4 linked regions of the Tamandua tetradactyla genome follow. The protein of the gene in region 1 interacts with the protein of each later gene in a pairwise test. Links are inferred from orthologs where the notes say so. Each region holds a gene or a part of one and is shown in the gene's direction. Other genes may lie near its edges.

The links.
Region 2: the proteins of NUDT18 (region 1) and HSD17B14 interact in binary tests that used the Homo sapiens proteins (3 or more experiments, as listed by UniProt). The two-hybrid records come from large-scale screens. The link is inferred for Tamandua tetradactyla from reciprocal best matches to the Homo sapiens genes NUDT18 and HSD17B14.
Region 3: the proteins of NUDT18 (region 1) and RAB3IL1 interact in binary tests that used the Homo sapiens proteins (3 or more experiments, as listed by UniProt). The two-hybrid records come from large-scale screens. The link is inferred for Tamandua tetradactyla from reciprocal best matches to the Homo sapiens genes NUDT18 and RAB3IL1.
Region 4: the proteins of NUDT18 (region 1) and NADK interact in a two-hybrid assay, tested with the Homo sapiens proteins (2 studies listed by BioGRID and IntAct). The two-hybrid records come from large-scale screens. The link is inferred for Tamandua tetradactyla from reciprocal best matches to the Homo sapiens genes NUDT18 and NADK.

What each region holds. Positions count from the first base shown.
Region 1 is NC_135329.1:22,739,840-22,747,094, reverse strand, and holds NUDT18 (8-oxo-dGDP phosphatase NUDT18), read left to right. Parts: upstream 1-4,307; 5' UTR 4,308-4,342; coding exon 4,343-4,504; intron 4,505-5,322; coding exon 5,323-5,536; intron 5,537-5,769; coding exon 5,770-6,365; 3' UTR 6,366-6,746; downstream 6,747-7,255. UniProt on the Homo sapiens protein: Mediates the hydrolysis of oxidized nucleoside diphosphate derivatives. Hydrolyzes 8-oxo-7,8-dihydroguanine (8-oxo-Gua)-containing deoxyribo- and ribonucleoside diphosphates to the monophosphates. Hydrolyzes 8-oxo-dGDP and 8-oxo-GDP with the same efficiencies.
Region 2 is NC_135342.1:12,213,022-12,220,227, forward strand, and holds the start of HSD17B14 (L-fucose dehydrogenase), read left to right. Parts: upstream 1-4,195; 5' UTR 4,196-4,384; coding exon 4,385-4,472; intron 4,473-4,906; coding exon 4,907-4,945; intron 4,946-5,022; coding exon 5,023-5,126; intron 5,127-5,616; coding exon 5,617-5,683; intron 5,684-7,206. Other genes in the region: PLEKHA4 (pleckstrin homology domain-containing family A member 4), read left to right, coding at 1,747-1,908, 2,702-2,769, 3,261-3,373, 3,663-3,922. UniProt on the Homo sapiens protein: Catalyzes the NAD(+)-dependent oxidation of L-fucose, yielding L-fucono-1,5-lactone, which rapidly converts spontaneously to L-fucone-1,4-lactone. Can also act on D-arabinose and L-galactose, with lower catalytic efficiency. Does not use NADPH.
Region 3 is NC_135335.1:13,053,373-13,060,315, forward strand, and holds the start of RAB3IL1 (guanine nucleotide exchange factor for Rab-3A), read left to right. Parts: upstream 1-3,929; 5' UTR 3,930-4,031; coding exon 4,032-4,183; intron 4,184-6,754; exon of another isoform or gene 6,755-6,813; coding exon of another isoform or gene 6,814-6,824; intron 6,825-6,943. UniProt on the Homo sapiens protein: Guanine nucleotide exchange factor (GEF) which may activate RAB3A, a GTPase that regulates synaptic vesicle exocytosis. Promotes the exchange of GDP to GTP, converting inactive GDP-bound Rab proteins into their active GTP-bound form.
Region 4 is NC_135328.1:223,211,726-223,218,941, forward strand, and holds the start of NADK (NAD kinase), read left to right. Parts: upstream 1-4,199; 5' UTR 4,200-4,299; intron 4,300-5,000; exon of another isoform or gene 5,001-5,100; intron 5,101-6,085; exon of another isoform or gene 6,086-6,263; intron 6,264-6,420; exon of another isoform or gene 6,421-6,609; intron 6,610-7,216.

The sequences.
Region 1 (7,255 bases):
CAGCTCAGACAGCTGACTGCCTGGCCCCCTCTGCCCACGCCCTGTGACCCCTCTGGTGTTACTCTTCCCCTCACCCCTTCCCTTGAGATCGCAAAATGCTCCAACTGTTGTTATACCTAATTGTTTCTGTGGTGGTTCAGGGAATTTTTTTTATTATTAAATAAAATTTTTTTATTACAAGTGTAATATACTTTCAGAAGATTTAGAAAATAAGAAAAAGTCACCTGGAAGCCTATCTCCAGCATGCTCAGCCTGATCACTATCAGCATTTTGGTATAGTTCCTTCTGGTATTTTCCCCAAGGGTCTATTTCACATGTGGTTGAATTGGTGTTTTGTAGTTGATTTACTTATCTTAATATAATTATTTTTTATGTTGTTACCTAAGCGTCATGTTAAGTGGCTGCTTACAGTCGATTGAGGCTTTGCCACGATTTATCAAGCCCTCTTTCTTCCTGAAATTTAGGTTTCTTCATTGTTTGGTAAATTAGGTTAATTCCATTTTTTCGTGGGATTAAAAAGAAAGAAAGAAAAATAGAGGACTCCTACACTTATAGTAGGCACCACACCAGTATTTTGACATAAATATGATCTCATTTAATCCTTCATCAATATTTTAAGGTAGACATTATTTATTTCTGTTTTAAAGAAGAAACAGGCAGGCTGGGGTTAAGTAAACTACCCCAGGACATTCAGCAATTTTAGTGGCAGAACTGGGATTTGGACCAAATCTTCTGACTCATGCCACCTCGTTTACATGATCGTCTCAGCTCTTAATGCAGTTTAAAGATGAGCTTGCCCTCTTCTCTGTCCTTCCAACATTACGTACTTTCTATCTGATCATCTTCCAAGTAGCACTGAATGACCCATTCCTACTTAGATTTCACCTTATTTGGCTGTGTCCTGATGTTACCCCAGAACCCAAGACACGAGGTCCTTCCTATGGGAGGATGGTCTCTTAATTTTTCCCATTTGGGATGGGGACCACCGAGTCCCTGGGCCTCTCTCTTCACATGGAGCACCCCATCCCCCCCCCAATCCTTCATGGGGGGGGTCACAGCACCATTAAAGGCATAATTGGTCTGACGTGTTGGAATCAGCAGATGGATCAATGTTCATTTATTCCAGAGATGGACCTGGGAATGAAGCCAGCCCAGGTGGGGAGTGACCCAGTGCCTCAGGTTGTGGGCAGGGGGTGGCACTGACCCCCATGGAGGCCTGGCCGGCTCAATCCCAGCCCAGACTGCCCTTTGAGCCTCTTGCTTCTCACAGGCCTCTCCTCACTGTCCACCGTCTGCTTCCAGGCCTCCTCATTGACCCAAATATTTAAGAAGCAGAACCCTCAGGGCTGGCGGGGAGCTCATAGGATGTACCTCCGATGCCTTCTTTTCCTTTTTCTTATAAAGTAAGGTTTTGGAGACTTATTTTGAAATAATTTTAGATTTACAGAAGGATTGCAAAGATGGCATAAAGTTCCCATTTACCCTTCACCCAGTTTCCTCTAAGTTAACACCTTACCTAGCCACGAGACACCGATAGATTGATTATTAAGGAAGCAAAAGACTTTCTTGGGATTTCACCAGTTTTCCCACTTACGTCCTTTCTTTATGACAGGATCCAATAGTACCTTGTTTTTACAGTTGGCCTAAGGGGAAGATCTGACCCTACCCCTGAGGGGCCAACCTAGCGGCAGGGCCCATCTGGAAGCCCGACGCCCTCCACAGAAGGGCCTGGAGCTTGCACCGTTGTCCTCCTCAGCCTTCACGTGGGCTTTCAGGGCAAAAAGCCTTACTCTTGGGTAGGCGGCTCTGACCTTGCCCCGCCCCTTCCGGTCCCTGAGGGTGCCAGTCACGGGCCTTTGCGCATGCGTGCTCCTACGCACGTGCCTGTGCGCATGCCTCGAAACGTCTAGCTCGGGCTGGGAATCTTGGGCGCTGGGAACCCTGCACCGTCCCTGCGGCCACCCACCCCAGCCAGTTTTCATCCCTCATGGGCAAAGAGGACACAGAGAAAACGTTGATGAAAGCCTTTTTCTTTTGTGGGGTTTTGTAGTTTTGTGGGGCCATCTTTACCAGTTGGGTCTCTTCACGAATCGAGCTGCATCCCTCGGCCTCCGGGTTTTTCTATCCCAGCCCCCCTCCCTCAGCATTTCTCTTTCTCTGCTCAGTGTCTCCCATGTTACCCAGTCTGACTGTGTTCTCTCGTCCTCCCAATGCCTTGAGAAAAGTCCATTTCATTGTTGTTTCCCTCTGAGGGCTGGGTACCGACTACCCCCAAACCCCACCCATCCCATGCAGCCCTTCACGGCTCACGAGGGGCTTCGCATTCCTTTGCCTCACGTGAGGCCCTCTGGAGAGAAGCGGAATGCTTTTCCTCTTCGGCATTGATGCGGGGAGTGGAGCCGCCTTGGCACTTCCAGGCGGTTAGGCCGTCTGTTGTTTATCTCAGGCTGCTTGTCAGGCTTCAGATCCTTGCCCAGACGTGACCTCACTCTCACTCAAATCATCCCTGGGAGGCAGGAAGGAGTCTGGGAACAACGCTGTCCCTACTTCACAGATGGGAAAACTGAGGGTCACACACGGGCAGCAGATTTGTTGACAGGTCACTCTGTAGTCTTGGGGTCCCGACTCCACCCTGTACAGTCAGGTGTCTGGGAGGTGAGGTGGTGTTGGGTATGGCTGGGGCGGCAGCATTCACCAGCTGGCCTGGGGCAACACAGCACCCGGTCTCCTGGGAACCCGCAGTCAGTGCAGGATGTGAGAAGGGCCTGTGGAGACTGAGAAGCTGGGGTTGCAGTTTCTGAGAGTCAAGTCTAGTCCTATAGTGGCCCTGTCGGCACATTCATGAGGGTAGGTCCTACTTTGGCCGCAGGAGGGCCCTGCCTGGAGGCTTCGTGGGCAGTCTGGTGATGGTGCATTGCTCTGCCTGAATGGACGGTCCACAAAGCTCCTCTCCACATCTCACCGTACCCTCCCCACAACCCTGTGAAGGAAAGGGTGCTCTACAGATGAGGAAAAGGAGACCTATAACCTGCCTGAGGACGCAGAGCAAGCCAGCAAGCAGTGGCCGGGCCTTATGGCTTCAAGGCCAGTACTTGGTCCTCTCCATCACAGCCAATCTCACCAAAAAACAAGAGGTGCACAAAGCCAGCACGAGGGGAAAGAGAAAAGGGGGGCCCCTACTCGGGGCGAGGCACATAGAGTTTGCTTGCTTCCCAGTTTCATTCCAGCTGGCCCTGACTTCCTGTCCTGAGAGGAGGTTAAAGGAAGTTCTGCAGAGGAGAGGTCAGGCTGGGAGAGAAGCAGGAACTCGCCCAAAACAGCCCACACCCTGCTCTCACTGTGCCAGCCTGTGCGTGCTCCATGGGAGGGCAGCAAAAACAGAGCAAGACACCCCTTTGCCCTGGCAGGGCCCACAGTCTACAGGGGAGAGGGGCCTGGAACCACCTGGAAATACACGGTGGGCAGAGGGCGGGGTAACATAACGGCTCGGCTGGCAGATTGAAGATCTTCTCTGAGTCTGTCCCTGAAATCCCCTCCTTCCCTCCTCAGCCCTGCCCCACCTTGTCCGTCCCAGTGGTGCCCCCTCCCTCCTCCGAGCTCCTGTCACACCTCATACCCACATCACTCACTTAGCCCTTGGCGTACACCCCTGGGGTGACTTTTCCTACGTATATGTCCATCTTGCCAACTAAGTGGGAATCTCCTCTACAGCGGGGGCTTACGGTTCCCCCTGCTATGTTAAATCCCATACAGTTTAGTGAAGAAAGAAGAAAGAAATCTAAGAAGTGATCTTCTGGGGCAAAGCCATCGCATGTTTAAGGCGATCTGGACAGTCCAAACCGCGGGCCTCCGTGACGTCATCGGGCTTGTGACGCCACCGTCGCCGGCCGCGGTGGCGTCTCGCTGCCCCGCAGGCAGGATGACGACGCCGTCAGAACCCCGCAGACCAGCGCGCGCTAGCCGAACCAGCGAGGTCGGGGGCGGGAGACGTCCGAAAAGACAGAGCAGGGCGGGTGGGACAGCAGCGGCGGCGGGGCAGGGGTCTGCCCGGGTCCCCGCAGGGGTGCCGCGTCCCCTTCCAGGCTGGCCCCGCCCCCGTGCCCGCCGCGGGCCAACCTATGTAGGCGGGCCGTGGTGACGCGCAGCCTCTCCGCCGCGAGCGCTCGCCCGGCTCTTCCGCGTCCGCGAGCGCGCGCGGACTGAATCGTCAGGGGAAGACGGAGACGGACCCCCGCCCACCTTCCCCTCGCTCGCCCCCTCGTCCCCCCCCCCCCCCCCCGACCTCTCCGCCCCGACTCAGCCCGCTCTGCAGACTGCGGGCCCGCCGCCCGCAGGGGCCTCGATGGCCTCGGAAGGCCTGGCGGGGGCGCTGGCGGCGGTGCTGGGGGGCCGGGGGCTGCGCGTGCAGGGCTGGGACTCGGTGCCCGCCGAGGAGCCGCCGGCGCCGGTGCGGCTGCGGAAGAACGTCTGCTACGTGGTACTGGCGGTGTTCCTCAACGAGCAGGTGAGCGTCCCAGCGGGGCCCGGGGCCGCCAGCCCGCCGCCCCGGCCTCGGAAACGCCAGTGGCCTCACCCACCGCTTGCTTGTGCGGGGCGCTTTCCAGTAATTTAGCAAAGCACTTTCACTCACACTTGCCCCTGAGCCTGGTGGCGGTCCAGCCCTGCAATTATCCCTATATGCAGAGAAGGAAACTGAGGCCCAGGAGCTTCGTAGAACTTGCTCCTGGCGTGTCAAGCCCTTGAGCAGAGGGCTGTCTTATTCCTTCTTTGCCAGGAGGTTGGCACAGTGTCCGGTGGATTCTCGGCCCTCTTAAAGGTCTGTGGAGTGCTTGAGAGAGCTCCCCTGCATCCTCCGGATGGGAATGGCGGAGCCCACGCTCGCACTCAGACGTCTGACCTCCTTGTCCAGTGCTCTTTTGGGTGCTGATGCCTGTACACGTTCCTCTAATAACAGCTAGTAAGGGACAGGGCCATGGTTGGGCTGGGTTGCGGCTGGACACGAGCATTTGGTAAACCATCTGGGGAGGCGACAGATTCACAGTGACACGTCCACAGACATGGTAACCTCACCCTGGGGTCTAATCCCCGGCCCCTGGAAGCAGCCCCCAGGAATCTCAGCCCCTTCCTGAAATGGAAGTCTCTGAATCCAAAGAGGGCCCAACTGCAGACAAGAAACAGCCTCACACACAGCCCTGTCCCCTGGAGAGCTCAGCAACTTGAGGGTATCCCTCAGGGCTGACTGTTGCTGTCATATGGAGAGGAAGGGCCTCTGCTTGTGCTGTGCTCTATGGTGGGAGGTGAGGATCCTCTGTGTCCCCTCAGGATGAGGTGCTCCTGATCCAGGAGGCCAAGAGAGAATGCCGCGGGTCGTGGTACCTACCCGCGGGGAGAATGGAGCCAGGGGAGACCATCGTGGAGGCGCTCCAACGGGAGGTGAAGGAGGAGGCCGGGCTGCAGTGTGAGCCTCTGACCCTGTTGGCTGTGGAGGAACGGGGCCTCTCCTGGATCCGCTTTGCATTCCTGGCTCAGGCCACAGGTATGTCCCACCCAATGGCAGTGGGAGCAGGAAACGATTGACACCCCTACTCCCACCCCATCTCATGCCTGCTTGTCCTTTGGTGAGATGAGCCTCTCCACAGCCTGGCATGGCCCAGATTCCACCCTGAGAATTTCGGTCTCCTCCCTGGGTATCCATTTTATTCTGCCAGATCTGGCACTTCTTTCAGCACAGACCCTTTCCTCCCCTCTGCCCTCCAAATCTCCCCTTAGGTGGAATTCTTAAGACTTCAAAGGAGGCAGACGCGGAGTCCCTGCAGGCTGGCTGGTATCCACGGACCTCCCTGCCCACTCCACTGCGAGCCCATGACATTTTGCACCTGGTAGAGCTAGCTGCCCAGTATGGCCAGCGAGCCAGTCACCCTCTTATTCTGCCTCAAGAGCTTCCCTGCAGTCTGGTTTGCCAGCGGCTCGTGGCCACCTTTACCAGTGTCCAAGCTGTGTGGGTGCTGGTGGGTACAGTGGGGATGCCTCACTTGCCCATCACTGCCTGTGGCTTCACCCCAGTGGAGCAGAGGGGTGGCATCAAGATGGCCATCCTGCGGCTGCTACAGGAATGTCTGACTCTGCACCACTTAGCAGTGGAGACCAAGGGGTTGCTAGGACTGCAGCATCTAGGCAAAGACCATACAGATGGCATTTGCCTAAATGTGCTGGTGACAGTGGCTTTTCGGAACCCAGGTATCCAAAATGAGCCCCCAAAGGTTCGGGGTGAGAAATTCTTTTGGTGGAAGGTGATGGAGGAAGACCTACAAAGTCAGCTCTTACAGAGGCTTCAGGAATCATCTGTTGTCCCAGTCAACAGATAGGAAGGTGCCAGAAGCGGGCAAGAAGCTGGACATCTGTGTTTCCACGATGGTTTCGCCATTCCTCTGCCAAGAGGCAAGAAGTTGGAAATCTGTGATCCTCTTGCACTGGGGTTCTCCTGGTTCTCAGAGGGATTCCCATCTCTCTTGACAGAAAGGACAGTGCCTTCAACCAACCAAGGAGTCAAAGGCCCAACTGCCCTGAAGCTCCTTGTCAGGGAGGTGGGGACTTTCTGACCCTGCCCTGGCACACAGTCTTCATTTTCTGTGCCCACCTAGAAAAGGCCTGCATCTGAATCCTTTCAGGCACTTAGAGCATGGAAGGGAAACTGGGGGAGGTCCTCCGAGTGAGGGTCCCTTGCTGAGTAAACGGGTGTCGCTTACCTCCCCTTTGCTGCCTAAATGTCTCCGTGGGAAGGAAATGAGCAGGAAGGTGGGATGGTTGTCAGAAGAGAAGCTGCTTCCCTTGTTCCACTGACAGCCACCAGGCCTTTCCCTGACAGCATGCCGAGGCTCCAAGGTCAGGTGGGTGGGTGGCTGGACAGACCGGCTCACGAGGAGGCCTGAGGTCTGAGTGTGGGGGGTGCCCTTCTGTCACCTGGTAGGAAGGGATGTGACTGGGGTGGTGAGAGGGAACAACATCCCTTATTAACCAACTCTAACCCTCTCACTGCTTGAACCCTGAGAACTTCCTGGAGAAATTTCAGATGGGAGACAAGCTATAAAGTCTGCCCCTGCTTCTTTACTTGTGCATTTTTCTCCTTGAACTTCTTGGGCTCAGATTCCTTCCCTGTCATTTGCCAGCCCCCAGGCTTGTGCCTCTGCCTTTTTACAACTTCAGCCCAAGCCAGACCAAAACCCTTTCTTCATCTTCCACCGGCCCTACTGAATCA
Region 2 (7,206 bases), on another chromosome or scaffold:
ATGATTCCGAGACCTGGTGCTTGAGTTCCACGGGGAACAGAGGCACAAGTAGCATCCTCCTGCATATCAGCCAGGCGTGGGTGTATGGCAGCCAGACCCTGGCACTGTGAAATTTTCAAAGGACAGTTGAGCTGGATGAGAGAAAAGGTTTGCCCATGCAGAAAACGTATGTTCCTGGCAGAGGCGAGGAGGCGATGACCAGGAGGCCATCTCTCAGTATTGGAAACAAATCACTCAATTTATTAATTTTCTTGAGCAAAACAGAGAGGCAAACTCCTGTCACGTGGGACACAAGGTTAGATGGACTTCCGGGGGCAGAAGGCTTGGGAACAAGATTGGCCTTAAGGTGTACAAGCTGTGTCTGTTCCTGATTGGCTGGCGTTCAACAACGTAGATGGCCCTGATTGGTTGGCTGACAAAGCATGTGTTTACTCCTGATTGGCTGGTATTCTGAGGCATGTGTGGCCCCCTGATTGGCTGGCATTCAGAGGCGTGGTCAGGGTCGGATGTGATTTCTGGGTGAAACAGATTGAAAAATCATTTCCCGCGGTGTCTTATCGTGGAGACAGAGCAATCAGTCCTTTCCTAAACATACAGAAATTCTTTCATTCTCAATGGTCTCAATGGACGTGAATTGTCGGGGTGGCTCTGAACAACGCTTATTTGTGTTACGGGACAAAGTTTGTGGGTTCTTTTGCCCTTGTGTGCAAATGGCCAATTCCTGAGACATTGGGGTTTCTAAGAGAAAAAGAGTTTATTGCTAGGCACGTATCAGGAGAGCAGATGACCTAACTGACCTAAAAATCTGTCTCTCTGAACTGCAGTAATTCTGATAGTGTTAGAGTACCAAAGGACGGGCAGGTTTTCGGATGATGAGCACAAATGGCTCAAGATGATGGGGTTAGAGATGATCTAATTATTGAGCATGTGCAGACTGATTACATGCTTACCCACAGAACTTATATAAAAAATGGTGATCTTCATATACTGATGGGCGTGATTTTTAGTATTATAATGAGGCATAGGCCACAAATGGGTTAAAGTCTAAATTACTGTGCAATGTCGGGCAGGCCCATTTGGGGTAGATCCAGTCTCCGTTATCGAAATAACCTTGGGCTTGGGGTGGGTTAGTTCTGGGCTGACCCAAGACCTTTCATTAATAAACTTTAGGGGCTCTCTTTAGTGATCACAAAACTCTAAAGTAAAAAAATTAGATAAACGGGTACAAGTGAAGGTTAGTCATCAGGTTGTTTATGATCACAGGGGCACATTATCAGAGATCAAGGCAGCTGCTTTACAATTCAAAGATTTCAGGTATTTCCCTTTGTCTGCTCTAAAATGCCAGAAAGTAAAAAGGAGTATCTATATAATATAAATTCAGTAACCACAATCATCCCTTCAATCCTAACTTCTTGGTTACATTTGGGGAACTGCCCCTCTCTTCTCTCCAAGCCCATGGGATTGGGGGCTGGCCACGTCACACCAGTAGGGGATAAGCTGGGACGCCCTCCTTGCAGACAGCAGCAACCAGTGCTCTTCCCTCCTGTTTTGAGAATGAAGGAAACACTGAGGGCAAGCATGAGCTCGTCCAGTCATCTCAAGGCAGGTCCCCAAAGCTGTCCTGATAATTTAGTTAGCCAATAAGCCCTCTCCCCTCGTTTTGGTTGTGGGGGTCCTGGGGAGCCACGGGAGGGCTGTGAGCGGAGGAGGGGCAGCCGCATCTCTGGGCATTGCTCGCCTCCCCAGGGCCCCCTCGCCCGACCCCGCATGAGTGCCCAGGAGCAGCTGGAGCGCATGCGGAGACACCAGGAGCGTGGACGGCCCAGCCCTCGCCCCACCTCGCCCCGGCTCCTCACCCTGGGGAGGACGCTGTCCCCAGCCAGACGCCAGCCTGATGTGGAGCAAAGGGTGAGGGGAACGGGGTGGGGCAGTGGGGAGTGGGGTGATCGTGGGTGCCTCTGTGTCTGCTCTGAGCCACAGTTTCCCTCTCTGTAGAATGGGAATGCTCCCTACCCCCCTAGCCAGAACTGGGCTTCCAGATTCACCCCAACTTGTACCCGTGCTAAAGTCTGCCTTCTGGCTCCCCTCGGTGGAGTGAAAGTGGGGAGGAGACTGAAATAACAGCTCCACCTAAACCACATTCCCCCTTCAAGGTGGGGGTCTCCGGTCTGGATTCCAAGCCCAGCTTTTCTTCTCAGCTGCTATGAGTTGTCAAAGGGAGAAAAAAGAAAATCATCCAAATTAGGAAATTGATTTTATTTGGGCTGTTGCAATAGGGAGAGCACCCCAGATCCAAAGATGGGAGGGGCTCCATCGGCAGGGTGGTTTAACTTTAGACTTTTATAGGGATGTGAAGACAAGTTATAGGGGAAGTGATTCCACAGCTGTCAATCCTTCAGCTAAACAGGAAATGGTTATCTCTGTATCTAGCTAGCTTTGGGGGGCAGAAACAGTTCAGCGGATCGTTTACGAAATAAAGGATGGGGATTTGGAGGGGCAGTAGGGGGGGTCACTAGGAGTTCTAGCTAAGTCCTGTGGGGAAGGGAGCTGTTTCCAGGAACAGGAGTGGATGGGGGCCACCTTAACTCACCTCTTTTCCAGGGCTGCAAAAACAAAAAAAAAACACAATAAATTATAATTTTAAAAAGCCGGCCCCGATTTTCCACGTAAGGATAATTCTAACGACCCGATTCCTTCCCAGCCTGGCCTAGACTCCCTGGGACAGTCGGGAGCCTCGAAATGGCTCAGAAGCTCGGGGTCCTGGAGTAGGTGAGGAGTGGATGGTGGCGGCAAGGGAGCAGGGAAATTAATTTGCCAAAGGGGAAGGGAGTACCATCATTACTATTTTAAAATTATTTTTATTGTGGAAACATGCAAAATGACATTTCCCATTTTAACCACTGGCAAGTATACAATTCAGTGGCCTGTCATTAAGATGAAATTCTCCCGAGTACTGACATACAGGTGGCAGAATCTATTAAAGACGCAGAAGTTTCTGAGAGAAAATCAGAAAGCCCTGGCTCTCCGGTGAGAGCTGCAAACTTGTCCAAACTCCGTGGGTGGATTTCCCACCTTGCCCCTCCTTAGAGGAAATCGGCTTCAGTTTCGGACGCCTGGCTTAGAAATCCCCTAACCCACGCGTGGGACGCGCCCAGTTAAGGACCTGCAGAGACACATCTAGTGAAGCACCCGCGGGGAACTTCCGCTCCCACCACAGCGGCGAGTTGGACACGCACCCCCAAATCTCCCCTTTTTCCTAGTCCGAGGAACACCACCCCATACTTGCCCACGTCCGAAGGTCACCGGGAGCGGGTCCTCAGCCTGTCTCAAGCCCTGGCCACTGAGGCGTCACAGTGGCACAAAATGATGACAGGTGACGCGCTGGGGGCTGGGACCCCTGGGATTTAGGGAACAGGGAGTGGGAGGCCTGGAATCCTAGGTCCTATCGAGGAGGGGGCTGCGGGGAATGTTGTCTGGGTGAGGATATGGCCGGATCTTGAGAGTCCTAGGTCCCAGGCAGTGGTGGAGCTGGAGAGACCCCCGAGTGTAAGGGAGGAGGGGCTGGGGGGGCCTGGACTTGGGGGTCTGGGGGCGGAGGGGCTGGGGCCGGGACTCCTGGGTCGTAAGGTTTGCCATTCTCGTTCCCCACCCGTCCCCTCCAGGTGGAAACCTGGATGGTCCGGGAGAACCTCTTCCATCCCCGCCGCCGCCGTCGGACCCCACGCCGCGGCTGATGTCTCCCCCAAGCTCTCCTCCCGCGGCGACTTCCCGCCCGGCGGGGTCCAGGCGGCGGGGTGGTGGGCGCGGCGGAGGCCCCGCCCCCTGGGAGCCCACGTGGGCAGGCGAGGCCGCGCCCCCCGCCCTGGCGGCGGCTGAGGGGGCGTGGCCTCTGCGGGTCACTCTGCTGCAGTCGAGCTTCTGAGCCCCGGGACGCCCCAGCCAATCGTGGGGTGGGGGGCGCGGCCTGGTCCCCCCGCTGTGGTGTGGCCGGGAAGGGGGGCGGGCTCTGCACCCGGAGTCTGGTTTTCTCAGCACTGACCAAATTCGGAATAAAACTTTGAACTTTTGGTCAACAGTTTTCTTTCTATCTTTTTGGGGGTTTGGCGCAGGAGTGTCTGGAAAGCAAAGCTGGAGGCCGGGACCCCTGGGTCTGAGGGGGAGGTTCTGGGGGCCCGGACCCCCGGGTCTGAGGGGGAGGGGCTGGGGTCGCACTTCCGGGTTTCCACCTTTCCGGCACCGCCCCCGAGGCCGGCCCGCGCGGATCCAGCCCCTGTTTAGCACTTGACCCGACGCCCCCCAGCTCCTCCCCGGATTCTGGGGTTGGAAGGGGGCCCAGAGTGAGGGACAGAGCGAGGGACGCAGCGAGACGGACAGTTGGGCCGGGATGGCCGCGGGCGCGCGCTACGCGGGGAAGGTGGTGGTGGTGAGCGGGGGCGCGCGCGGCATCGGCGCGGGGGTCGTGCGGGCCTTTGGTGAGTTGGGGGCTCGTGGGCTTTTGGGGCCTGGGGCTAAAGGTGTGGGAAGGGGGCCTCCAAGCCCGGCCTGAGGACCCGCATCCAGTCTCCATGGCTAAGGACAGGGTGCCGGCGGTCGCCTGGGGCCAGAGGTTTTGGCGGGGTGTTCAAAAGTTAGTTGGCCCTTCTCGGGGTCTCAGTTATGGTAGCTACAAATGGGTGGCTCGGGGAAGATGGGTTGCCCAGCCTTGGGGTTTACTCTGGAACCCAGGGGTGGAGGAAAGGAGCCAAGGCCTCGCCATGCTAGGGCCTCTGCCCTTTGTCCTTTGGGATCACGAGGAAAACACACGGGGGTGGGGGGGGGTTCTGCCCCACTGCAGGTGGCCTCAGGGGAGCAGCAGAGGCCATTGCCAAGGTACAGGCAGGTAATCAGTTGACTTTTCTATTCTCAGTGGAGAGTGGAGCCCAAGTGGTCATCTGTGACAAGGATGGTGAGGGACCCTCCGCCCTTGCCCCAGCCTTCCTCCCTCCCTCAGACCCCCGGGTCCCCCAGCCCCTTCTCCCTCAGACCCGGGGGGTCTCCCTGCAGAGTCCTGTGGCCGGGCCCTGGAGCAGGAGCTGCCTGGAACTGTATTTATTCGCTGTGATGTGACTCGGGAGGAAGACATGGCGGTAAGCCTGATTCCTGCCCCTGCTTCCTGTCGCTAGCGGCTACCATCTCATTTTCATGTCTTTCTCCACGAGGCTGAGGCTGTGGCAAAGCTGTCTCCTCTTCCTTCCCTCCTCTCCTCATTAAATTCCCCAAGGCATCAGCCCAATGTCATTTGCCCCTCCAGGCTCCACTGATTCTGCTGATGTCTCTCTGGAAAGTTCTCTTTTATTTCCGTCTTCTCCAGGGCTCTTATCACAGTTATCAGCTGCGTGGAAGTGACTAAGTCCCTCACAGTGAAGGAATTCCGTAACAATGTTTCCTCCCCCACCCCTCTCTCTGGGTCTCTGCCCCCTCTCCCTGGGTTTCCGTCCCCTCCTTTTTGTCCCTGGACTGACGATGGAAGTCTGCGTTGAACAGTCCGTTGGTATCTGACAGCCCTGGCGCCCCCTCACCGCCAGCTGTGGGGAGCTCCCTGGCCCCCGGCCTCTCACAGGACACCTTTCCCCACAGACCCTGGTTGGCGAGACCATCTGCCGCTTTGGCCGCCTGGACTGTGTGGTTAACAACGCTGGCCACCGTGAGTTGTGAGGTTGGGCCTTCCCCAGTGCCAGCCAACCTGCCGCCCTTCTATCGCCTCCTGTGCCTCTGTTTCCCCTTTCCCTGCCCCTCCTTCTCTCTATCCATGCTGGTAGAACAATGCAGCTATGGGATTCCCCAGGCCTGGACGCAAATCCTGGCTGTGTTCATCCCTGCTGTGTGCCCCCAGGCCCGTGTCTTCACTTCTCTGTGCCTCAGTTTCCATATCTCTACAATGAGGACAATAGTAATAATCATAAGTGTTTCCTTATAGGGTTGGTGTGAGTACTGAATGAGACCCAGCCTTGAGCCTGCCCCACTTACATTCCATCACCACTGTAGCTGCTCCCTGCCTTGTAGCTTCAGTCTGCCCATCTGTGAAGTGAGGCCCATGGCCTTTCTCTTAGCTGATGACAGCAAGGCTGCCCCGTGGTGCATGGTTTATAGGACTTGGTAAGGTGGCTTCGAAGGGAAATTACCACTGACTTCATGACTGGCCTTTGTAGGAATGCCTCAGTGTGGTAAACCGGGGCTCAGAGAGGTGACCTGGCTGGCCTGGCATCTCCCTTGTCAGCTGGGCAACTTTGAGCAAGTGACTCACCCTCTCTGGGCTGTATCTTCCTCCTCACGTTGTTGTAAGGGTTTAAAGAGATGGCGGTTGCTACTTTGTCCTTTCTGCGTCCCTTATCCCTTCTACAAATACATATTGAGCAACTACAAATACAGTACATAGATCTCTATGTACGTACATATGTACATCTCTGTGTCTCTATTGACAGAGAGGACAGGAACATGACAAAGTGGTGGCAACTGATGCCATGAGACAACTTCCTATCCCTGGGCTTTGCTTCTATCTCCCTGCCCCATCCTTCCGTTTGGCCCCTAACGTTGTCTTCAGATGACTCAGTTTCCTTCTTTTCCCACTTCTTATCTTTCCCATCATCCTCTATCCCCCCCCCCCCACCTGTTTGTCTTCTGGCTGTTGGTTTTTCTATCTCTCTTCCCATAGTTCCCAGATTCCTCCTATTTATTTAACCAACATGGTTGCAGTACAAACTGTCAGGTACAAATATTGACCCAGGAAATTTCTAAGCCCAAGGCCTAGATGTTACCCTCATGGAGTAGGTGTGGAAATTGAAGCAAAGAGAGGGGAAGTGCCAACCCAAGTCCCGCAGCCAGAAAGTGTCAGGGCTGGGGTTCTAGTTTGCTAGCTGCCGGAATGCAACACACCAGAGATGAATTGGCTGCTAATGAAAGGGGATTTATTTCGTGAAAAACGTGTCGTTCTTCAGAGGAAAGGCAGCTAACTTTCAACTCAGGTTCTTTCTTATGTGGGAAGGCACAGGGTGATCTCTGCTGGCCTTCTCTCCAGGCCTCTGGGTTCCAACAACTTTCCCCTGGGTGATTCCTTTCTGCATCTCCAAAGGCCTGGGCTGAGCTGCGAGTGCTGAGATGAGGTATGCTGAGCTGCTTGGGCTGTGCTACGTTGAGCTCTCTCATTTTAAACACCAGCTGATTAAATCA
Region 3 (6,943 bases), on another chromosome or scaffold:
ACTTGCTCAAAAATGTTTCACAGCTTCCCTGGAACCTCCAGAAAAAAGTTCAAATGCTCTAGTTTGGCTTTCAAAGCTTTTCTTGATCCAACCTAAGCCTGTCTTTCTAGCCTTTTCTTTGGCATCCTCGACCTTAGCCTGAACTCCAGCCAAAGTGAATAATTTGCGTATATCTGTAAAACCCTGGTCTTTCTCATCTCCAAGCCTTTCTTCCTGCTGGTTCCTCTGCACAGAAGTCCCTTTCTCTATGTCTACATAGTTAAATCGTGCTTATTTATCAAGCCCCACATCCTCTAAAACGTCTCACCTTACCCATCCTTCCTGAAGGGTGAGTGGTGGGGGGATAAGAATAGGTCAAACCTGTATTAAAATCCTAGTTCTCTTCATTTGTTGGTTTTTGGGCCAAATCCTTTAGCCTCTTCAAGCCCCAGTTCTCTCATCTTTAAAATGAGAAGAGAAAGCAATGAAGGACGCCAGTTGGTGGCTGCGAGGGTGATTGAAGTCACAAACTATTGGAATTATATGTCAGATAATTATATGTAAAGATCCTTGCACAGTCCAGCCCCACCCTGCATTCCACGATTTTGGAAGGGAGTTATCAGCTGTCCTGGGAGGTCACACCCTCCTCTACTAGTCTTGTCTACCCCTGAAGGCTCGGCCAGTTCCTGAATTCCATTACAGTCTGAGATTTCCTGCTGGGGAAATGGGAGTGAGCAAACAGGTTCATCCTCTAGGAATCCAGTCCTGCAACCCAGGCACCTGGGAAGGGTCTCCCACACCAATTTGTTTCCAAAGGAATCCTCTCCCTCCCATCTTCATTTGAGCACCCATGGCTTAGTGGCTGGGAAATGTCTACTAAATCTCCAAAGGAATTCGCCAGCCCCCTTCCCTTTCCACCAGCACCCCCATAACATGATGATGAATCAAGTGGAGCCAGGATAATCTCCCAATTTTGAGGTGGGTAAACTGAGGCTCAAGCAATCTTCCACATAGTTGTGTCAAGGACTTGTGTGTCTTCCTCAGCCAGAGAAGAGGGTTCATCAAGGGGCTCCAGGAGGCCTGGAAAGCTGTGTTGGGGAGTCTGTGGGAGCTCTGTCCCCAGAGCAGGAATCCTGGCTTCTCAGAGTCCCTACCCCTTTGTCCAAAAGTGGGTTACTGTCCTCTCTCAGAGGCCAGCAGGGAGCTTGGTGTCTGCGTATTCTCTGTGAACTTAGAGTACCGCACTTGGGGAGGTTTTTTGCCTGTGTTGTTTGGGGGAAGGGCAAGGATGACGATTCACTGGCTGGGGTATGTTTTGGGGGCTGGGGGTGAGGGTAAGAACTTCTTGCACAGTGAGAAGAGTAAGTTGAGAAGCAGGAGCTCTGGATTCTAGCCCCCTTTTATACCTGGCATGCTGCTTCACCTGGATGATGCACCTGGCCACTGCATACCCAAATTTCCCCATCTGTAAAATGGGGCTGATGGTAGATGGAACCCTCTCTGTCCTGGGATCTTAGCGCTCTCCAAGTTCTCCCCAAGCCCAGAGAGTCCTTGGGGCCTGACTTCATCAGGCTGGACTGACTCAAATCTCTGACACCATTTAACCGCCTCCACCCTCTGTCCTGCCCTTCCCCAAGGGGTCTGGGCCTGACTCCAGCTCTCCCTCAAGGTGGGGCTGGGCAGGCGGTGGTCTGGTCAGACCTTGGGGCAAGGGGGTAGGTGGGGCCAGACTCACGTTTGACCTCCCGAGCCTCTTCCCCTCTCCCTGGAGCCAGCATCCTCTCTCCTCCCTCCCTCTTGAAATATGAGCCCAGGGATCCAGGGAGAACTCTCACTGCAAAATATTCCATCCGGTTGTCCAAACATTCCGCACAGCTGCGGAGGGCAGGGCTGCCAGAGTCTGGCTCTGGGGAGCCCTCGGGCTGTTGTTTGCATGGAAATGGGGGAGTCCTTACTCTGAGCACCAGCTCCTGGCTGAGGGGGTCCACAGGGCTGAAGGCCCACCCCCAAAGGAAGAGCCCCCAGCCTCCTGCGGCTTGCCCAAAGGCCTCCCTCCGGGGTGCCCAGCCCCTGGCAGGGGGCATCGAGCTGCCTCAGCCAGGTGGGCATGGCTGCCCGACGCCTGCTGGCCGGGAGGTGGCTGGGCAGTGGAGGCGGGGGGCCGGTGGGTGACCTTGTGAACCTCCCCTCGTGACTGGGTTCATGGCTCAATGCCACCGGGAAGGGGTGGGGGCCAGGGGAGGGCGGTGAGAAAGGACGCTGAGATAGCAAACCAGGAGAGGACTCCCAGCAGCAGCTCTTACTGGCAAGCAGTCCCAGGCCCGGCTGCCTCTTGGCTCCCTGGACGGGTCTCCAAACCTTGGTTTCTTCATCCACAACAGGAGAGGGTTGAGCCTTTTCTGACTCTGCTTTTTTCCTAAGTCATCACAGCCAAGGCCAAGGTCCTCACAGCTTCCCAGCTAACCAGCTGTCCAGGAAGTAGCAAGTTTGATCTCATAGAGTCCCCGGAGCAGCTCTGACTCAGTTTCCCTCCAAGGAGGCTGCCTGGGGCTTGGCAGGAAGGCACCGACTCTGACCAATTCTGCCACTAGCTAGGCTAAGCCCCTTCCCCTCCTGCCATGTCAGGGCAATGGGGAGACACCCCCCGCCCCCCCGCCCCCCACCCCCACCTCCACCCCTTCACACATCCTGTTTTCCATTAATTGTTTCCAGGTGGGCCCAGAGGCTGCCCAGCAGAGGAAGGTGGAGGGACGGGAGAATTTAGCAGGGGTTCAGCGAGGACCAAAAACAGGAAGCGGGTGGGAGCAGGCCATGGAAAATTCGCTGCCAGGAAAGGGAGGCCAGCATCTGGTTTGCATTAGGCTGAGAGCTTCGAAGCCCGAGTGGGAGATATTGTTATCCCGGGCGGGGTGTGACTGCAGATCGGAACTGGCAGCTTCTCCGCAGCAGCCGGCCCCAGAGGCTGATGGGAAAGGAGAGGGAAGGCACAGGAGGAGGGACCATCAGTCCACACTGCGGCAGGCACTTCACCAACCTTTACTTCTTTGATCTTCACAACTTCACAGGAGAGAACTGTTCCCATTTTAGAGATGAGGGAACTGAGTCCCAGAGAGGTTGAATAACTCTTGTCCAGAGACTGGCACAACCAGGATTCGAACTCAGCCTAAAGGAGAGAGGGTGGCACATGCAAACCATCTCAGGGGTGGATCAAGGTTGACCGTGGGCCAGGCAAGCGGGCACTGAGAAGGATTTGATAAGGAGGGTGGGCCAGCCCTCTGGCCAGCCAGGGTCATTCCATTCTCATGGGAGTGCCCATCAGTTCCATGGGCTGACCACCTGTCTGAGAGCTCTAGCCCGGCACCTGTACAAGGAAGGAAGCAATCCACAGGGAAGGCTTCCTGGAGGAGGAGGCATGAGAAAAGGAAAATTCATCAGCAAGTGGGAGGCTGCAGACAGAAGAGATAATGTGAGGAAAGGGGGTATGTAGGGTGTGTTTGGGCGAAGCAGCTGGTCTGGTGTGTCTTAGAGGGTGGGGAAACTGAGGCACAGAGAGGCTTACATGCCCAAAGATTCACAGTCTGGAAGTGGGGTTTAAATCCAGCCTGTCTGACTCCAGGCCCGTGTTCCCTGCACACACAACCCCCACCCTTTTTCTTGGTGGCTAAAAGTTTTAAGGGGATTCCGAGGCTCACAGGGGCAAAAGGGGCTTGCCCGAGGTCACACCAGCTGCTAGTGGCAGGGCCAGAACAGGACAGGATCTTTCCAACGTGCCAACTTGGGCAGGTCTGGCTGAAGCCTGGGGCCCCAAGGAGGTAGTGGAAAACCTCCTCCTAGCCCTAGTCTCTGCAGGGCCTGCTAAGCCATGTGAGTTAATAATTATGGGGTTTCAGGAGATAGACAACTATCTAGGAGGTGCCTCCTTCACAGGCCGCTGCTCCTCAGAGATAGCAAAGGTTAGTGTGAGGCTCAGTCTGGGAGCAGGGAGAAAGCTCCGGCCATCTGCCCGCCTGGCAGTCTGCAGAGGGACCCTGCAGGGATCTGGTCTCCCCAGCATGGACAAAGTGGAAGAGCCCACTGGGTGCCCTGCCCGAGGGTCATGCCCCATGTACCTGGCCATCAGTGCAGGGACTGTCCGTTATGCCCCATTGGGCCGAGGCCCTGCCCTGGAGGGCAACTTGGGAGAAGAGCACTGGGACAGAGACAGGTGAGCCAAGGAGCTGGGACGAGGAGGGGAGGGGGATCTTGCCACTCTGCTGGGGTGTGGAGGCCCCAGAAGGTTGAGAAGCTGGACTCTGGACTGGGAGCTGGCAGAGAGCTGTGAGGAGTTTCAGGAGCTTCCTATAAGGGTCAGAGCCAGGGCTGGTGCTGAGCACCTTGTCCAGCTTGCCTGTTGTATAGGGGTGTAGGCTGAGGCTCAGAGAGGGCAAGACACTCATCCCGGGTCACACAGTTTGCTGAAAACAAACCTAAGTCCAGAACCAGGACTGAGTTCTCCAGGCTGGCTATTTCCAGCTCCTCATTTGCCTCCAAGGCTGGGTTGGGGGCCAGGGGTGTTTAGTAGCTCATAGGCAGAGAATATACGTTTACTTCTATCTGCCCCGACTCCTCGACCAGGTTCCTAGTAAGTGCTCAGGAACCCCTTGTGGCCTGCATGCATGCAGCAACAGCTTCCAGTGAGCTCTGGTTGTCTTTTTGGAAACCTGGCAGTAAAGGGTCTCAGCCCCACCATCCCTGGCTGTGTGATAACAGGCAGGTGCCTTGACCTCTCTGAGCCTGTTTTCAGCTGAGGAGTGGGGCTCTCTGGGCTGCTGGGACAGATGAGGCTGGGGAAGCCATGGTGATTGGATGCATAATTGATAGTATACTCATGGTCAGTACCTGGATAGCTGACATTCTGCTTCTGGGGTCATGACCCCACAGTTGACCTTCAAGGGCTCATAAAGGACCTTCCCAGCCCACCCTTTCTCCTGGGGTTGAAGACTCTTCCTCCAGGGCGGACACCTCCTCCACCCCTTATCTCCCATGGTCTGGGCTCCCATAACTTGGACCAGGGCTTATCTACCAAGTCAAGACTTGGAGGGTAAGGGACATTTACTGGGATCCTTTTCTCTTCTTCTCCCCCTTCCCCTAGATAGTGTACAGAGAAAGAGGTAGGAACACAGGCAGGTGCTCAAGACTTTCTTGGTGAAGGATTTGCATCTACAAACGGATGCTGACACCTGTTCTTGGCCAGGCTCTGTGCTGAGCCAGTGGCAGACGGGGGAACACAGGACTGAGGCGCTGGTCCCTGCCCCTAGAAAGCCACAGTCATGGAAACAATCGCCCTGTAGAGCGAAGGGCATAGGAGATCTGGGCTGAATGATTCTGGAAAGCCAGAAGGGATGGCATGGAGGGCTGCCCAGGTTGTTCACTGCACAAGGTGATGGACAGCTAAGGGAGGGAGCGGGCAAGGCCTGACATGCCACCTGCCCTCCACTCCCCAGTCCGATACGCTGGTCTGGGCTGTGCTTACTTGGGGAAGGGACACAGTTTTCTCTTCGGAACAGAGACCCCACGGGCTTGACAAGGTGCGCCCTGACCAAACGGTGGCCCTGGAAGTGGGGGCCTTTGAGAGTATGTCCCCCAGCCCTCATCTTTCACCAGGAAGGGGGCTAAGGCCTATGTCTGCACTGTTTCTCCTGGGTCCCCAGAGAGACCCTTGCCTGGTCCACAGGTTGTGCTCAGGGAGTGGTGGTTGAATGGATGGATGAATGGATGACACATGTCCCCAAAATGGAGATGGGACAAACGTAAGCCTGGGGCCCAGCATCTGGGGGCCTAAAAGAGGACTGCCCAGAGTTCCGGGGGGCATCTGTGGAAGGGGGGTGCCGCTCCCCCCAATACCTCCACCCACAGGGAGATGGGTGGGAGCCAAGGTCCCTCACAGGAAAGAAGAGGGATTGTGCTCTAACTGGATCCAGCCCGAGGCTGAAGCGGGAGGCTGATGGTCAGGGCTCAGGTAGGTGGGACAGAAGGACTGCGGGACAGGTAGACCAGTGGTCTGGGATTCAGGGAAAGGCTTTGCAGAGGATATGAGACCTGACGTGTGTGTGTGTGTGTGTGTGTGTGTGTGTGCGTGCGCACGCATGCGTGTACACTGCATTGTGGAGGGCAGATGTGTTGAGAGGCAGAAGAGGAGGGGTCCCTGTGGGGGGAGGCTGGGTAAGGCGGTTAGGGCAGAAGGGTTACTTCCCTCCGACAAGAGCTCCTAGGATAGGAAGGAGAAAACTCGTTTTGTTTTGGGGCCTGTCCCCTCTCCCCACCAGGCAGGGTGTGGCACAGGCACAGACCAGGGAGCCCATGGAAGGAGTGGCAGGAGGGCAGGGAGAGGGGTGGGCGGGGGTCCGCTGGCCTTAAGTGACAATCCGCGTGAGGATCGGGCAGTCGAGGGTCTGGGAGCCACAGCAGGTTCTTGAGCTGGAGGCAGCCCAGGAGTGCTTCTCCGTGCTGGGGCGCGGGGTGAGTGGAGAGGAGTCATCAGCTGGGCACGTCTGACAGCCGCCTCGGCGGCGAGGCGATGCCCCCACCCCCACCCCCACCTCGGGCCGCTCCCCCCACCCCCTTGGCCACGTGACCCGCGGAGGGCAGGGTCGGGGCTGAGCTGGGGACTGGGGACGGGAGGGCTGGGGCCCGCCCAGACAGACAGACAGGCGGCCCGGCAGGACTGACCCCGCGGCGGGGCTGCGGGACCGGCCGGGGCGGAGCCGGCGGCGGGCGTGGACGCGGCGCGGGGCGGTGCAGTGAGGACGCGGCGGCGCCGGGGAACGGACGCCCGGGCGGCCCGGAGGCGCCGCGATGTGGAGTGGGTAGGTCCACGCGCGCTCGCGGCCCCGCGCCCGGCTGGGAGGAGAGGCTGGGGATTCCCCCCTTCCCCCACCTCCACCCCTCCCACCCCAGCTGCGTGTGCGCTCCCGCCCCCCCCACC
Region 4 (7,216 bases), on another chromosome or scaffold:
TTTTAAAGTCAGTGTACTGCAAGGAAGCTGGATGCCAGGTAGATACTCTATTAAAACTGTGCTGTTATTTAAGATGTAATAAAGCAGTTTGACAGGAGGGACATGGGTGTGGCTGCTTATTTGAGGGCCATTTGGGGTTCTGGAGCAGTGGGTGTTCTCAGCCTCCCTGTGCCCTGTGGCGCAGGCACCCGCTTGGCCACTCCGGCTTATTGCTCCTGTGTCTTTGGTCCACATCACAAAGAATTCAGAAGTGGAGTGTGTGGCTCCTCTGGGAGGCCGCCAGGGTGCTCAGCATTACAGGTCCTTGCGGAGAGGGTCCACCAGCCCTGGCCTCCGACGGGCATCTCTTGCCTGGGACTGCCCTTGCGCCTGTGCTCTCCTGTGCACTTCGCCACCCCTTTCTCTTCCTGTACCCTCCAAGAGACCCACACCCCGAGGACGCGCTCCCAGGCTGGACAGGCTCCTTAACAAACTCGGCCTGCATCTTACGGAGGAAATGTGCGTCTGCTCTGACCAGGGCAAAGCACAAAACCGCAAGGTGGGGTCAGCGCCGTCCGTGCACCCCTCCCAGGCCACCCCCACCCTTACTTTCTGGGCCTAGCCACACACATTTCTTAAAAAACTTACATATTCACTAAGGTCATAAGAAGTAACAGTGTGATCTCCATACATAGCGAAAATGCTCCAGTGGGCAGTGGTCCAGCCAAAGCCCGAGGTGCCTATTGGAGGCCCCTGCCACTCACCCCTTTTCCTGCCACAGCTCAGCAGCAGCAGGGGCTCTCCTGGGTTTGCAGGTCCCCATGGGGACCCCAGCCTCCGTCAGAGCAGCACCTGCCCTCCCCTGAGGAGCAGCTGCGGCCTGGGGGCGGCTGACCCGAGCTGCCTTGGGCTGCTGGGGTGGGAGTGATTGGCAGCTGAACTGTGCATTTGCCTGCCCTCTCCCCCACTTCTCCTTGAAATAAATCTGCTCTTCATAGACACGTGAATTCTCTGCAAATTCTAACCCTCCCAGCTTCCTCCAGGAGGCACCCGTGCTGGGAGCATCCAAGGTTCTCCCTGGGCCCATAGCCCTGCAGGCCTTGGGGCGCCCCACACCGCGCTGCAGTCTCTGCCAAGGGCAGGCAGCTGGCAGTGTTGGGAACGAGGGCTTTCGGCTGAGTACTGCCTGGGGTTTCACCCTTCAGGCCTGAGACACAAACCAGGACCTGGAGTCCCCCCAGGCGCGCCTCTCAGCTGTCCCTTCCAGCCTTCTGCCCTTCCTGTGCTGGCCTGGGGCACACCTGGCAGAAAGCACCCAGCCCAGGTGGCCCGTGGGCCCAGACGGGAGCAGCCCTCACTCTGCATGTCCCCCGGTGGCCCCCACCAGCTGGGGCCACTCCCTGCTGTGTCCAAGTGTGGTGGCGGGGCAGCTGGAGATCACATTCTTTTGGGGCCTCCCCTGGGGTTCGGGCAGGACCTCCACAGGGCAGCGCTGGCCTGGGCACCAAGAAGGGCAAGCGGGTCCCCCAAAGTGCTCCTAGCTGCCTCCGTCCTTGGCCCTGTGCCCGTAGGAGCGCCCTCCCACTCAGGACAAAGGGGGAGCCCCTGGGAGTTCAGTCCATGGTAAGGCCAGGTGCCCAGGGACAGCAGGGAGGGGAGCTGTGGGACCGTAGCGGGTGGGGGGGGGCGTGGCGCCCTCTGGTGGCTGGGCCTGGGGCTGCATGTGTCCCGCGTTTCTACACCCCCACCCCCAGCACCGCAGTTAAGTGGGGACACGTCTGGCTCTTAGTGCTGCCTGAAGATGGCAGTGGGGGTCCCCAGGGTGCCGGCTGCAGCCTCAGGTCCCTGTGTGGTCAGGGCGGGGTTGGGGAGCAGCCGTGGCGATGGGAGAGGACAGGGTCCTGGATGTGCAGGGTGCTTGCTGGAGGAGTGTGCTCCACTCCGGGCACTGCGTCCTGCCCACGTCTGCACCAGACTCTGCCTGGCTGCCTCCAAACGCTGTCCTTGGCTTCCTGGCTGTGTGACCTTCAGCCAATTACTGAGCCTCTCTGTGCCTCAGGTTCCTCACAGAGGGGGAAAAAATGAGGCTAACAAAAGTTCTTCTTTGTGAGGATTCAATGTGAGTTCTGACATGCTGCGTGGAGGCAGAGGTGACCAAGAGGGCCCCTGCCGGTCTCCACGCTATGCACCTGGTGGGGACGGTCACCACCAGGCCCTGACCTTGCTCCTTTTCTCTCACTAGTGATACTTCTTGCCTCGCTGCCTCATCAAAGGCGAGTGCCAGGGGCATCTCTGATGAATCCAGGGTGTGCCTGGCAAAGGTGGCATATAGGAAGAGCCTCACCCTGCCCCCCAAAAATGAGAGCCTGACTTGGGGTTGGACTTGGTCAAGTGGGCAGTTCTGGGTCCTGAGTCGAGCAAAGGTCAGGTTGGGGACATGGTTTTCAGGGGCTGGAATGGGGGCTGGGCCTGCTGGCTGCAGGAGGAAGGCTGGGGGATGGCCGAGATGGCAAGGAGAGCCACAGGGAGCCCTGGTCACTCAGCCACCCAGGCTCTTGGTTACTTCCTGTTTGCCCAGCAGCCTCCTTTCGCCTCTATTGACCCCAGCCAGGCACAGTTGAATGAACTTCCCTTGCAAAAGGGAAAGCTAGAGCCCTGCCCCCTCCCCTGCACACACAAGCCAGGGGCACCCCAGCCCTCTGCCGCAGGACAGCACCCGCCTCTGGGCGAGCAGCCTCATCCAGCGCCGCCCTCCACAGCCAGGTGCCTCTTCTCCCCCACCCCACCTCTCCCTTCTGTCCCCCACGGCTCAACCCGCAAGAGGGGGTGCACAGGTTTTGGGGGTTCTGAAGCACATTGGCGCGCCATCTTCAAGGAGAGCTTATAGAATGCCGTCCCATTAGAAAGTCCACAGCTGCCCTGTGCAATTGCAGCTTAGCTGCCAGGACCCCCAACCCCCGCTGTGCAGGGAGGATGCCTTCCTAGTCCCGGGCCCCCGAGGCACAGGGCCCACATGCGCCCGGCCGGCCTTCATCCGTCCCCAGCAGGCGGGGATTGGCCTTTGGACTCAGCCCAGCCAAAGCCACCTCTAGGAACCTTCCAGATGCCCCAAGACTGGGTCAGGGTGACACGCCGTGCGCTGTAAGCCTTCTGCAGGGGTGTGAGCTCCGCCTGGGATGCCAGGGTCCCGCTGGGCAGGGAGGAAGCTGCACCCTCCGGGCCTTATCCCAGACAGGACACCTCCCTGCCCGCACCCTTTGGTTTCCCAGGACACCTGCCCAAGTACCCTTTAGGGGGCCACAGTGTGACCACGGGTAAGTGACACAGGCAGGGCTCTGCCTGCAATGGGGTGGGCCTGTGGGCCGGCCCGCCCTTCAGTGGGCGCCCAGAGCTGCCTCCCGCTGTGAGGGTGGCCGGTGGCCCCTTTGGGGAAGCGGTCAGGTTTACAAAATACCCAACCCCGCCAGCTGCAGAGCTTGAGAAATCCCCTAAGTTCCCCACCCCTGCCCCACCCAGCAGTCCGGGCACAGGGCCCTTTGAAGGCAGACACCTGAGCCGCGCCATCCAGGTCGTCCCTCAGTGTGCCTGGTGCTGTGACCGCAGGAAATGGGGGCACAACTCGGCTCCACATGCTTGGGCCAGGTGCCCCGTGGGAAGGAGCACACCATGACCTGCCGAGACAGGTTCGTACAAAGGGAAAGAACATCCAAAGTGGGGATTGGCACTCAGACAGCGCTGCCTGGCTCCCCCTCCCATGGTGACCCTGCCTCAGTTTACAGCCCGGGCCAGGGGCAGCTGGACCATCTGCCCCCTTCATGCAGGAAGCCATCGGTTCAGCCCCAGGAGAACCTGCTCCTGCCCAGATCCGGGAATCCCCAAAGTTGACACTCGGGACCTCCGCGCTTCCTACTCCTTCCTGGTCCTCCAGCGCATGGGGCGGGACCCCGCTCGAGAGGCTCCTTGGAGGGGCCAGGCCCAAGGCCCCGCGGGCCTGTCCTGCCCGGTTCTAGCCCCAACCCGGGGTGCCGAAGGTCGCCGCGGGCGGGGAACCCGGAGACGGGCCGCGCCCCTCGGCTGGCCGGGCGGGAGGTTCCGTCGCAGCTGCACCCGGTTGTGGCTGCCCAACGTGCCGGCTCTAGGCCCGGCCACGCCCCCGTCCCTACCCAATTACCGGCGCTCTGGGTCACCTCTCCTGAGCCCCCGAAGTCCGCCCACCCGCGCGGGGACCGGCCGGGGCCAAGGTCACAGTCCGAGGCGGCGGCCTACACCCTCGGCCGGGCCCAGGAGGCGCATTCGCGAAGCGGCAGCCGCAGCCGCGAGGTGAGTGCAGCGCCCGGGAGGCCGCCCCGGCCTCGCCGCCGCCATCGGGGCCTGCCCCACGGCCCGGACCCCTCCCAGGCCCCCCTCCCTCGCCGGGTCCCCACCACCGCCACCAGTCGACCCCTCCCTCTCCGACACCGCTCCTCCGGGCCCCTCCAGCCGCGGATCAGCCCCACCTCCTGGCGGACCCCCTCCTGCCTGCCCACACCCTCCTAGCTGACCCCCAACCTCCTGCTGACCCCCGCTTCCTGACTGCACCCCGCACCTCCTGTCCGTCCTCCGCACCCCACCTCCTGGCTGCCGCAGGTCCCCCACATTGCGGGCCGCCCCCTCCCTCTCGGACACCGCCCCTCCGGGCCCCCTCCAGCCGCGGGTCAGTTTCCCCTCCCGGCTGCCACCCCCCTCGGGCCGCCCCCCTCCCCGCCGGCCGCGCCCTCATCGGAGCCTCCCCTCCCTGTCCTTGCCATGCCCGCCCTCCAGCCCCCCGCCCCGGCCGTCGCACGCCTCCCCCAGCCGGGGACCCGCGTCCAGGGCGCCCGTCGGGGCCGGCGTCTCGGCGCCGCCATCCCACATGCGCGGCGCGGGCGGGCGCGGGTTGCAGTGCGCATGCGTGTCTGGCGCGCCTGCGCGCTGGGGCCGGGCCGCGGCGGCGCTGCTGCTGCTCCGCGGGCGCCGGCGCCGCTGAAGGGGCGGCCATGGGGCAGCCGGCGGCCGCGGGGCCCGGGGCCAGGTAGCGACGGCGAGGCCCGCGGGCTCGGCCGGGCATGTAGGCGCCTCCGCAGGCGACCGCGGCAGCGAGCGGTGAGTGCGCGGCCGGCCGGGGGAAGCTGGGCGCTGCGGCCGCTGTGTCCCTCCCGCTGCCGGCGCTCGGCTGGGCCCTGGCCGCGTCCCCGCAGCCCCCTCGGCCCCGCGGACACGCGGAACCCGAGGTCGCGCGGTTTCCGAGACTTGCCGAGCGCCGAGAGCGTACCTGGGACGCGCGGGGGACCCGCCCAGGCCAGACGCCCGGGGCCCCGCACCCCAGGCCCAGCGCCCCGCACCCCAGGCCCAGCGCCCCGCACCCCAGGCCCCTCATCCCGCACCCCAGTCCCCTCACCCCGCACCCCAGGCCCCTCGCCCCGCACCCCAGGCCCCTCGCCCCTCGCCCCGCACCCCAGGCCCTCACCCCGCACCCCGGGCCCCTCGCCCCGCACCCCAGGCCCCGTGCCCCGCACCCCAGGCCCGGCGCCCCGCACCCCAGGCCCTTCGCCCCGCACCCCGGGCCCCTCGCCCCGCACCCCAGGCCCCGTGCCCCGCACCCCAGGCCCTCACCCCGCACCCCGGGCCCCTCGCCCCGCACCCCAGGCCCCGTGCCCCGCACCCCAGGCCCCTCACCCCGCACCCCAGGCCCTTCGCCCCGCACCCCAGGCCCGGCGCCCCGCACCCCGGGCCCCGGGCCCCGCACCCCAGGCCCTCACCCCGCACCCCGGGCCCCTCGCCCCGCACCCCAGGCCCCGTGCCCCGCACCCCAGGCCCCTCACCCCGCACCCCAGGCCCCTCGCCCCGCACCCCAGGCCCTTCGCCCCGCACCCCGGGCCCCTCGCCCCGCACCCCGGGCCCCGTGCCCCGCACCCCAGGCCCCTCACCCCGCACCCCAGGCCCTTCGCCCCGCACCCCAGGCCCGGCGCCCCGCACCGCGGGCCCCTCACCCCGCACCCCAGGCCTCTCACCCCGCACCCCAGGCCCCTCATCCCGCACCCCAGGCCTAGCGCCCGGCAACCCAGGCCCCGGTCTGGTGCATCAGGGTGGGCAGCAAGGCCAGGCCGCCACGTGGAGCTCTTATCTCACCAACTTTTGGGGGGGAACCCTGGCAGCCTTGAGCGTCTGGGCTGGGGGTAGGTCACCTAGCAAGCAGGAGGGCGCCTTTGGTGACCGTGGAGACTCAGGGAGACCCGTGGAGAGATGGTCCATCGAGGCCCGACCTGGTACGGAATCCTTGGGAGGGAACCCCAGACCTCAGGGCAGTGGAGTCCAGCACCATGGCCACTGGTGGACCCGCCCGGTTTTCCTTGTCACTGGTGGGGACAGGGCGTGCCCTGCACGCGCCCGAGTCCTGCTTCCTTTTCCTTCCTCCACTCCAAGTGCCCCTTGGCTTTGATTCGGAACAAGTTGCTTCTTTCTTGGACATTTCCTTCCTGGATTGGAAGGCCCTGTTTCAGCGAAAGAGTGGCTCATTCATCTCGGCCCTTGAGGGAAACCATTTCAGTCTGTGTGTTTCCTGGGACTTAGCCTCTCTTCCCCACAGCCGGACCCTGGGCTTCCCTGAACTTAGTAAGTTATTTCAGCACTGCTGGGTGACTTCAAGGGCACCTGCCCCAGAATCTTTTCTGCCCATATCTCTGGAGAAGTCCTGCCCCAGCGGCTTCAGCTGCTCGTGGTGTCCCTGCTCTCGGCCGGGCTCACCCTTTCCCCGGGACGTGCACGCAGGGCCACCCCCCGGGAAGCTGCCCCTGGAGCTGGACAGTCAAGATGTTTGTGTTGCTCTCCTCTGAGCGCAGAGCACTTGGCTTAACGCCTTCAGTCTCCATGAGCACACAATCCCCAGAGAACTAGTCGGGTTATGTTGCTAAACTTTCTTGACAGTTCTGCTTTTTGGGTCTCGGCTGGCTTTTCTCTCTGGAAACAATTGTTATAAGTAGTTAGATTTCCAGGCCAGCACAAAACCTGTTTCATTCAGAGTAGCAGTAGGAGGGTCTTGGAGACAGCTGGGAATTACAAGCAGTAATTCTTCTGGGGTGGGGGCGGCTGGCAAATAAGGGGAAATGGTGCTGGTAATTAAGTAAAACAGAGAACAGTGGGATTTGTTTGATTTAATTTAGTGCTTGAGAAAAAGTAGGTTTAAGTTGGGGAATGAAGAGGCTGCCTTGTTTTTTTTGTG